Linked DNA regions of Danio rerio. The protein of the gene in region 2 interacts with the protein of the main gene of each other region in a pairwise test. Links are inferred from orthologs where the notes say so. Each region holds a gene or a part of one and is shown on either strand. Other genes may lie near its edges.

Region 1 (3,650 bases), on a different chromosome or scaffold from region 2:
AGATCCCATTGCCGATAATAAGGGCAGTTTTTTATTTTTTTATTTTTTTAATCCCTAAATATAAATATTATGTCAAAACAATTTTGGATGTGATTAATTGCAATTAATTTTGCCCAGAACTACTTTCAATAAAATTTTACTTTTCTGTAACAACACTGATTTTACAATGTACAATAAAAGAGGGGGAAAAACATTTAAATGATTGTGGTGCTAAAGCCTGAAAATAATCTGAATAACCCTATTCCAGGAATAAGTCTTTCGCTTGTGTGGAGGTTGTGCGTAAGAAAGACGAAAGGAGAAAACTGAAAGGCCACTATTGTAAAGAGTGTGAAGTTGTGAGTCAGTTTGTACACTTTGACCAAACACACGTCTCCTTCTTTTAAATAATCTCAGCACTGATCATTTTAATATTTTTATTAAAACTATGCTGTTGTTGATTCAGTATTATGCAGATCTCCCAGAGGAAGAGAGAGAGAAAAAACTGACTTCCTGTTCACGGCATCGCTACCGCTACATTCCTCCTTCCACACCAGAAAACTTCTGGGAGGTGGGATTTCCATCCACACAGACCTGCGTGGAAAGAGGTACTAAATTTCGTCAGGTTGACAAAGGGAGAAAAAAAGAGGCAAAATGATAAAATATCAATTTTTAAGCTCATTATTTAGTTGGGCTGGATTAGAATAGCATTACATTCATGAAGTTTGAGATTTATTTATGTATTTTTTAATATATTATAATATAATTTTTATATATATATTATATAATTTAATATAATATGAATATAATAATAATGATTTTTCAGTTCATGTATAGAAAACATCCAAAATGCACTTAAAGATGTGACATTAGATTTCAATTATAATCTATATATAATTATATAATTTACATATATATATATATATATATATATATATATATATATATATATATATATATATATATATATATATATATATACATATATATATATATACATATACATATATATATATATACATATATATATATATATATACATATATATATATATATATATATATATATATATATATATATATATATATATATATATAAGCTATTTTTCTCTTCTAAACCATAAAATCTTGCAATGGTTTATTTACATTAATGCAACAAACTAGTCTTATTCATACCTATATTCTGAAGGGTTTTTACACAGGGATGTGTTCATGCATAATTTTGTATAGTTTTATACATCATTTTATTTTACAAGAAAATTGTGACTTTTTCTGACTGCTCATACTGTTTTCTAAAGAATGACAAAATATATATCGTATAACGTATAACATTTATAATATTATTGATATTTATAACATATAACATTTATAATATTATTCATATTTATAACAAATAACATTTATATTATTATTCATATTTATAACTTATAACATTTAGAATATTATTCATATTTATAACGTATAAAATGTAGAATTATTGACATTTATAACGTATAACATTTATAATATTGATATTTATAACGTATAACATTTATAATATTTATATTTATAATGTATAACATTTTTAATATTATTGATATCTATAACGTATAACATTTATAATATTGATATTTATAACGTATAACATTTATAATATTGATATTTTTAATGTATAACATTTTTAATATTATTGGTATTTATAACGTATAACATTTATAATATTGATATTTATAACGTATAACATTTATAATATTGATATTTATAACGTATAACATTTATAATATGTATATTTATAATGTATAACATTTTTAATATTATTGGTATTTATAACGTATAACATTTATAATATTGATATTTATAACGTATAACATTTATATTATTGATATTTATAACGTATAACATTTATAATATTGATATTTATAACGTATAACATTCATATTATTGATATTTATAACGTATAACATTTATAATATTGATATTTATAACGTATAACATTTATAATATTGATATTTATAACGTATAACATTTATAATATGTATATTTATAATGTATAACATTTTTAATATTATTGGTATTTATAACGTATAACATTTATAATATTGATATTTATAACGTATAACATTTATATTATTGATATTTATAACGTATAACATTTATAATATTGATATTTATAACGTATAACATTCATATTATTGATATTTATAACGTATAACATTTATAATATTGATATTTATAACGTATAACATTTATATTATTGATATTTATAACGTATAACATTTATAATATTGATATTTATAATGTATAACATTTTTAATATTATTGGTATTTATAACATATAACATTTATATTAATATTCATATTTATAACGTATAACATTTATAATATTATTCATATTTATAACGTATAACATTTATAATATTATTCATATTTATAACGTATAACATTTATAATATTATTCATATTTATAATTTATAATGAATGAATGAAAAATGCACACCTAATGTGAAATGGCCGCTTTACATCATGACCACCTCAGATGTGCATTGTTTTTTTTTTTAACCAATACATCAATGGCCATTCTTCTGTTATTCCTTATTTGTGTATATCGTAGTCGGAGATTTGCTGTATATGAATGCATTGAAACATTTAAGTAATGTTCATCGCTTTATTTCTCCCCACAGGATACATCAAAGAGGATGAGCAGCCGGACGTGCGAATTCGCAGGAGACGACCGTACCTTGCCATGTTTTCACCCAAAGCCAAATCACAAAAAAAGAAGCACTGAGTCGAGCTGTTCACACACTTAAAAACCACTCTGACACCTCATGGATCGATATGAAGCACAGTCTGCTTATGCCCCGAGTCACATCTGCTTAAAACAATCTATGTGCGTTTGTGTTTAAGTAATTCATTTTCAGATTTTAAGAAATCACCTTGATTTTGTAATGGGAATTCAGAAATAAGTAAAGAGTTTTTAGTTTTGTACATGTGATTTTGACTAAGAATTGAATAATTCTGTAATAAAAATTAAAAGTGATTTCATTCATCTTCCTTCGATTTAATCCCTTTGTTCATCAGGGGTCGCCACAGTGAAATGAACCGCCAACTATTCCTAAACTATGTTTTACACAGCAGATGCCCTTCCAGCTGTAACCCAGCTTTGGGAAACACTCTTACACACATTTTTATTAGTTATTTATATTTTCTCCTGTTTTTCTATTTACTCTTGTTTAGTTTGTTATTTTTATACTAAAGTTAACTTTTTATTGATTTCAAATAGCAAAAGTGGGTTTCATCTTTTTTTAAATCCCATTTTGGCAACTTATGGGCCTAAAAACACAGTGCATCACATAACATTGAAAAAGTGACTCAACACCGTTATGCAAAAATACAATAAATGCAAGTGTCTAATGTTTCAAATAATTTTTTGAATATTGGTAAAATTCATTGTAACATTTACGTAAACATACTAACTGTGATCTGTATTATAAAAGCAGATGTAATAAGTGATTATGCCACATTTTAATTAAAAAAAAAAAAAAAAAAAAAACTTTACTAACAAATGGATAAAAGTTATTGGTTTGAAAGATAGTGGCAAGGTATAAAGATTTAAATGTTTTGATCTGGTGCCGATGCAATCTGAGCTGCATGCAAGGCTTTTTAATAGGCTCACCTAACCCTACCACACACAGTGAT
Region 2 (3,665 bases):
GCTCCAATCGATGCCACAGCCAAATTTGTTTTTCCCTCCCCCCTTCACCCTACAGCCACCGCTGAAGAGAAACTCTTAAAGCTTCACTTGCTCGTTGTGTAGCGGCCCCAATAAACACCACACGTGTATGCAAAACATCGCAGGTGACAGCTGTTTCAGTGTCGGAACGCACATGTTCTCATGTGTGGCAGATGTAGTATCAGAGTCTACACAATGCACGTTTACCGGTTTACCAGTTGGAAGCATTTTGAGGGACCAAATCATCCTTGAACTTTTAGGTTAATCTGTAACTGTTTACATACGGAAGGTACTTGCAATGCTTCCCTTTTCCCTCTATCCTTTTTGTGTCTTTTCCCCATTACCCTCCCTCTTTCCTTTTAACAGTCTTTTTCTTTCTTTCTTGCTTCCTTCCTCATATTTCCCTCCCTCTCTCTCTCTCTCTCTCCCTCTCTCTCTCTCCCTCTCTCTCTCTCTCTCTCTCCCTCTCTCTCTTTCTCTCTCTCTCTCTCTGGAGCTTGTCAGATGCTGTGGTCTTATTTGATTGCATAGGAAAAGTGCAGTGATAGAGCAAACAGCCAGTGAGATATGATGACAAATGGGTCCAGATCCCAGTAAATTACTTTCTGCTCAAATCGAAATTTCATTCAGTTTGTTGCTCGGCAAGATGAAGTAATCTAAATTGTGGACTCAGAAGGCAGATAGAAAGGAAGCAGGAGCAAGCATTTCATTATCAAGAGACTGAGTGAGAGAGAGAGAGAGAGAGAGGGAAGGTTAGAGACGAAAGAGATGAGCAGAAGCAAATCTAAAGTGTTGACACCATGATTGAAAAGGTTAACCCATGCACATTATATATCAACCCGGGTAGCCGAGGGTTTCTAATGGAAAGGCGGCAGTGACTGAGCACTCGCTTGAGTCCTAATGGCAAAAGCGCTGTGTCTCCGCCTAGATGTACAATCAAATATTCTTAGGCCCTGATTGCTTATGTTCTAGGTTATTATTAGGTTGCAAAAAATGAGCACCAAAGGTAATACTTAGTCCCAGTGGTAGAGGCTTTTGGAGGACAGGATGCAGGATTTTTTCATTTGGTTTGCGATATTACTATGATTTTATTTTTTCTACATCAGAATATTGAAGATGTAATTTGTTCTGCTTGTGTGTGTGTGTGTCTGAGAGAGAGAGAGAGACTGAGAGAGATTGAGAGAGGGTGAGGAGGAGGCCCTGGAACAAGATTGAAATGATTTAACCTGTACTTGCTCAAGGATTTCATTGTTACAGTAAAACAAGGCCAAACAGGTTAATAAACCTTGCTGATGCACATGGAAGTATTCATTATATTAATGACTGCACTGTCCATATCCAGTGTTTTATTTTCAATCTCAGTCATCAGTAAATGAATGGTTTTGTCATTTAGTAAATTAATGGTTTTGTCATTTAGTCGACAATAGGATGTTATTATGCCATATGACTGACTTTCTAACATAGAAGCCAAAAAGAGATATTTTGATAAATGCTAATGCTGTTCTTTTCCATACAATGAAAGTAAATGGTGATCATAGCTTTTAAGCTCCAAAAAGACAAAAAAAAACAAAAAAAAAAACTGTCTGGATGCAATTTATATGCTTTTAATTGCATTTGTACAAGTAGTTGGTACTGTTATTCAGCAGATACACATTAACCTGACCAAAAACTAAATTCTTAAAAAAAAAAAAAAAAAAAAGTGTAACAATAGTTCTTAATGACCAACAAGGGAGTCTGTATGCAATATATACCCTACAAAAACATTTATCTTCGTGCTTGTAGTTGTTAATGTTTTTCAGAAGCCATGCATTAACTTCAATAAAAGTAAATTATTCTTAAAAACAAAAAAAGAAAATCATTCCTAGCTCAAACTTTTGAATGGTAGTGTAACAATAGTTCTTATTTAATACAGTAGGGTTGTTTAAAGAGCATCATCCAATTAGTTATTGATAAAATGTCACTGAATTGGAAAAAAAATACAAATAAATAAATTGTGGGGACAACTGCAATTGTTTACATGGGTTATATAAATTTATAAATGGACCATATTAATGAGTAAATATTGCTCATGATATGTTGGTGTGACATTATATTGATTGATTGAGATCTACCATATTTTGCTGGTCATTTAAATCATACTACAATTTCATAGATTTCAGCTATTTCGTCTAAGACATATTCGGTGCTCTGGATATATGTTGCTTTGGCACTACTAACATGTTTTCTATTTCTTTTCCCAGGTTATTTGGGAACAGTGGGGCATGCAGTGCGTGTGGTCAGTCCATCCCAGCCAGTGAACTGGTTATGAGGGCACAGGGAAACGTGTACCATCTCAAGGTAACCTTTTATCTAGAAGTGACCACTGCTGCTCTAAAATTAAATGCTCAATTGCATTACAAAATCCTTTCACACTCCACAGAGTTTTCTGATTGTTTGAAGGTGTTCTGTTGAATAGTTTTTCATAAGCTTATAATTGATATCAAATCAAATGCCTTTTATGTACATTTTAATCAATGTTTTCTGTGTCCCTCCACAAAAATAATTGCAAAATAATAAAAAACAAAAAGGAATAATAGCTTCACCTTTCAAGAAAATGTTCTGCAGGTTATGTGTAGGAAGTAATGTGCTAAGGATTGTGTGTAATGTAGTTCTTTTGTTTTGTTTCCTGCAGTGTTTCACATGTTCTACCTGCCGGAACCGGCTTGTCCCTGGTGACAGGTTTCACTACATCAACGGCAGCTTGTTTTGTGAACACGACAGACCCACAGCACTCATCAATGGCCATTTGAGTTCATTGCAGACTAACCCTCTACTGCCTGACCAGAAAGTAAGAGCCATAGTCGGTCATCTAATTGTTCTTATCACTTCACATATCAACATATCACTGCTGGATGGAAAACTTTAAATCTACTACTTGTTAGCTTGGCTTCACATATGGGCAAAAAAATTTTCTTGTGTGATAACAGTTCGCTTAAATCGAAGTTAAATGGAGCTTAAAGGTAAAATCTCATAAGGTTAATGAATGTAAAACAATTAAGGCAACCAGGTATTTTTTTACATTGTGGGAGTATCTTCAGTTAAACAAACAAACAAACAAACAAAACAAATCTATAAAGAAAAAACTGTATGTTGAGATGGCATTATTCACTACACAATTCTTCCAGAAAATATATTGCAGCAATATATTTATTATATATATATATATATATAACTTTGCAAGTGTGATTACGCGATTTAACATTTGACACCTAATCAAGCTTAAATGGAGTTTTTTTTTTATTTATTTACTTATTATTGTTATTATATTATTAGTTTTTTTTATACAAACGCTGGAGAGATGTGCTTTGTCAAACGTAAGACTGTCTTCATCTGAGGCAGTGCATTGCAGGTTATTCCTTTACTTTGTATTTAAGTGGGTGCTCGGTTTTTCTTGTTCTTAAAATATCTATAAGTTTATAAAATAAACTTATTTACGATAATATTGGTAGTGGCAAGCAGACAAATTATAAAATAAAATTTTCTATCTGTTTCAAAAACTGTTTTAATTTACTTTTGCACTGCATACAAGCAGTGATGTTCCAATTTATTTAAAAATGGAGACGGGTCAGAGATTTGAGGTTTTGCAGACAATTTGGTTTAGGTACAGC
Region 3 (3,665 bases), on a different chromosome or scaffold from region 2:
ACCTGAAACTGATGAGAGAATATCAGAATCCATGTGTTTTTTTTCCGTAAATGTTAGTGGGTCATATAAGATCTGTGCCACATGAAAGATACAAATTGCAATTGGTTTACTTGAACTGTAATGTTATAATGATGCTATAGATGTTCAGCATTCTTTGATTTTTCAGCTTTGAGCTTTTGACCTATGAACAAAAACATAATTAGATCATAATTATGTCACTTTACCTCATTATCCAAAACATACGAGCGCATTAAAAGGACAGTTCACCCAAAAATGAAAATTCCTACTCATCCTCAACTTGGTCTAAACCAGTTTGAGTTGCATTCATTTATTGTACACAAAAGAAGGTATTTTGAAAAATGTTGGAAACCAGTAACCATTGACTTCTATAATATATATTTTTTTCTACTGAATGTCAATGGCTACCAGTTACCAACATTCTTAAGAAAATCTTATTTTTAGTTCAACAGGAAAAAAAATCATAAACCACTTGGATCTGATTAAATATTGAGTACATTTCTATTTTAGGTGAACAATCTCTTTAAAGATATGGTGAAATAATGCTTCATCTTATTATGGAAGTTACAGATTAAAAGTCACTCCGGAAGCAATGAGATTATCACTATGGAGTGATAAACACTGAATAATCAGTGCTTCTGTACATCAATGTTTTATCTTGTACAGGTGCCCAAAGATAAGAGAGTACCTATCAGCAAAGTGGTTGAAATGTCAGACGAACCGGAAAAGAGGTCGGTGATAAATATGTTTAATAAATGCTTTTGTTATTACTAAAAAAATGCACAGAATAACACTTCAATAATTTTTCAGAAGCACACCAGTGGGAAACAGCAGCCAAATGGAGCCGGAGACGGTGGATAATCATGTCCAAGTCCTGAAATCAGTGCCTGTTAATCTGTCACTCAACACGGATCACCAGGACAATAAACGGGAACAGTACAGCGTGCCGGCTGGAGAGAGCGGGACGGCTGCTGTGGTAAAAGCTGAAGCGCACACTGCTGTCTTTATGACTTCAGGGGGACACTACAGGACAGAAGGGGAGGAGCAGATGCGGGTCATCTGTGAACAGACCCACTCATTCGACACCTCCACCATAAATCACAGTGCATATGGAAAAGATGACCATCGCAGTAGTCCAGAAAGCACATATGAAGATGACAGCAATGAAGTGAGAACGAATTCATATCTGAAGTCTATAAAAGTTTGCCATAAAATGTATTTATTTATTTGTTTATTTATTTTTGCAGAAGTACCGCTCGTCTTCGATTGGACCTGATGACTTCATTTTTGACCAGTCACATATGTTGTAAGTGTTATAACTAGTGTATTATATAAAATAATATTCTTTTATTATTATAATGATTTATCTCTCACACACCTAAAAAAAACATGCTCTAATGTTGTTCAACAGAGACACATTTCAATACACACTAGAGGCCAGCAAGTCATTGCGGCAAAAGCAGGGCGAGGGGCCTATGACTTATCTGAACAAGGGCCAGTTCTATGCTATTACACTAAGTGAGACAAGTGCTAATAAACGCCTTCGACATCCCATCAGCAAAGTGAGGGTGAGTGGCTACATACTACTTCTATTTATTTATTTAAGCAACCTGACATGGTAAGTTTTGTTTGTGAGTTTTAATTAACTTTCATATCATTATATTAAGTATACTAATTTATTAAAAGCTCTAAATCGCGTCAAGTTTAATTCAAAATGACCTTTATTGTCATTACGGTACATGTGTGGGCATAAAGTGGAAGGAAATGTTGTGTCTTGCTGGACCACGGTTTTGCATAAATAAACACAATAGTAAATATAAACACAACACTGGATGTAAGCTGTAACTAACATTCTGGAGCGGTAATTATTTTTTACTTTTTTCTTTTTTTTATTAAATGAATACTTCAGTTTACAAGGATAAAATATATTATTTAAAAATAAATGTGTAAATGAGATTAATAATGTTACAAAAGAGTTCTATATGAATTAAATGGAGTTCTTTTGAAATGCATATTTATTAAACAATCCTGAGCAAAATTGGCAAGTTTCTAAAATGCTTTAGCACGTATTATTTTTAGCTGTGATAACTAATGATGACTGTTGTTGAAAATGTAGGTTTGCCTTTAAATATTTTTTTCTATTTTAAAAAATATATATTTTTCTATTTTATAGGAAAATCTAAGGGAAATGAACTTATAAAAACAATTCACAATGTTACTTAATTATATCAAACCCAGTCATGGTTGTTGAGTATGTGCAGGGTTCCCACGGGTCATGGAATTTTTGGAATATCATGGCATTTTAATAGGATTATTTCAGACACTGAAAGTCAAGGAATTTTCTTTTTTATCTTTGTCATGTAATCTATGGTTTTAAAGGGCACCTATGATGAAAATCATCTTTTGTAAGCTGTTTGGGCAGAACTAGGTATAGTGTGTCCAAAGTCATATTGGGGTGATCTAAATACAATAAGTCTCTTTTTTTAAATTTTCTGACGTTAAATTAGGATCCAAATCCCTCCTGTTTTTAGGCCCACCGCATAGGACATAGGAGTGCAGTTTTCCCGCCCACCAATTTGATTGACAGCCACATATTTACATATCTCCATAGTAACGAGTATAATCATATCAACAAGACAGGACGTGTGCAAAACAACTGGGATTAAAAGATCTTTTGAGCTCTCTGTGCTCGTTAATCATCATCAAATGTAATTAAGAATGAGTTTTACAAGTTTAAAACAGTGATTGTTTGTAATAAAGTAAGTTAAAGACGGTAAAATTACTATAATTCATCACCACAGCCGCATGTTAGTACAATTATAAAAGACAACGCTTCAATCCTGGTTTGTGGACGTTAAATCAGGTTTATTTTTGTACATCAACATAACAAATATTCATATTGCAGTGGATATTAACGTGTATCCTGTCACATTTGTTGTGCAATAACAGTGCAAAGTTAAACTCGCTCGCTGTGTGTGTCTGCTATGTGTGTGTGTCTGTATGTGTGTGCGTGAACTTTGTAATGACTTTGTGTGTGACTCATCGTTGCAGAAAGGCTTGAATTAACTCCACAACAAATACATCAAATAATCATTGGGAAAGTTCTTACTGTAGTATTTCTCACAAACATTACAAGAGATCTGCTTCCTTCTTGTCTGTCACTGTGCTTTTTATCTAACGGAGCCAGAGATTGAAAACGCACAAGTTTTGCTACAGTTATGCCATCCGTCCACACTACGCTGGAGTTTTCGAGTGCCAAAAACCGAGCATTTTGGAAACGCTGGAGAGGCCGCTTTCATTCTAAAACGCTGCTGCTCCGTCTCAGTGTGGATGAGGGAAAACGGAGACATCTGAAAACGGCGGGGCTGCCAAGATTCGCTAGCTGATTGGGGCTTTTGTCTCATTGCGTAACCTTCCCTTATTCGTCAAGCCCCTATCACATGACTATAACACATGGCTTCAACTCTACCGGAAGACAACAGACCAGCCTTCACTGTAAACAACAACATGGACACAGAAATGGGAGCACTGTTTGCACTATTGTCTGTTTTAGGCGCCATTGTGCAGTTAAACTCTGCCTTTTTTACTACAGCAGGGGCATATACTCGCTAGAACGGGCATGCCCAGAGTGTGCGAATGGTTGCGTG

What was found.
Region 1: the proteins of lmo4b (region 2) and rbbp8 interact in binary tests that used the Homo sapiens proteins (3 or more experiments, as listed by UniProt). The link is inferred for Danio rerio from reciprocal best matches to the Homo sapiens genes LMO4 and RBBP8.
Region 3: the proteins of lmo4b (region 2) and grhl2b interact in binary tests that used the Homo sapiens proteins (3 or more experiments, as listed by UniProt). The two-hybrid records come from large-scale screens. The link is inferred for Danio rerio from reciprocal best matches to the Homo sapiens genes LMO4 and GRHL2.

Annotation. Positions count from the first base shown.
Region 1 is NC_133199.1:39,963,229-39,966,878, forward strand, and holds the end of rbbp8 (DNA endonuclease RBBP8), read left to right. Parts: intron 1-247; coding exon 248-335; intron 336-442; coding exon 443-584; intron 585-2,635; coding exon 2,636-2,739; 3' UTR 2,740-3,000; downstream 3,001-3,650. UniProt on the Homo sapiens protein: Endonuclease that cooperates with the MRE11-RAD50-NBN (MRN) complex in DNA-end resection, the first step of double-strand break (DSB) repair through the homologous recombination (HR) pathway.
Region 2 is NC_133181.1:28,416,737-28,420,401, reverse strand, and holds part of lmo4b (LIM domain transcription factor LMO4b), read left to right. Parts: intron 1-2,258; coding exon 2,259-2,355; intron 2,356-2,689; coding exon 2,690-2,845; intron 2,846-3,665. UniProt on the Homo sapiens protein: Transcription cofactor. Plays a role in establishing motor neuron identity, in concert with MNX1, acting, at least in part, to disrupt LDB1-LHX3 complexes thereby negatively modulating interneuron genes in motor neurons.
Region 3 is NC_133194.1:13,345,577-13,349,241, forward strand, and holds part of grhl2b (grainyhead-like transcription factor 2b), read left to right. Parts: intron 1-684; coding exon 685-749; intron 750-828; coding exon 829-1,186; intron 1,187-1,265; coding exon 1,266-1,324; intron 1,325-1,429; coding exon 1,430-1,586; intron 1,587-3,665. UniProt on the Homo sapiens protein: Transcription factor playing an important role in primary neurulation and in epithelial development. Binds directly to the consensus DNA sequence 5'-AACCGGTT-3' acting as an activator and repressor on distinct target genes.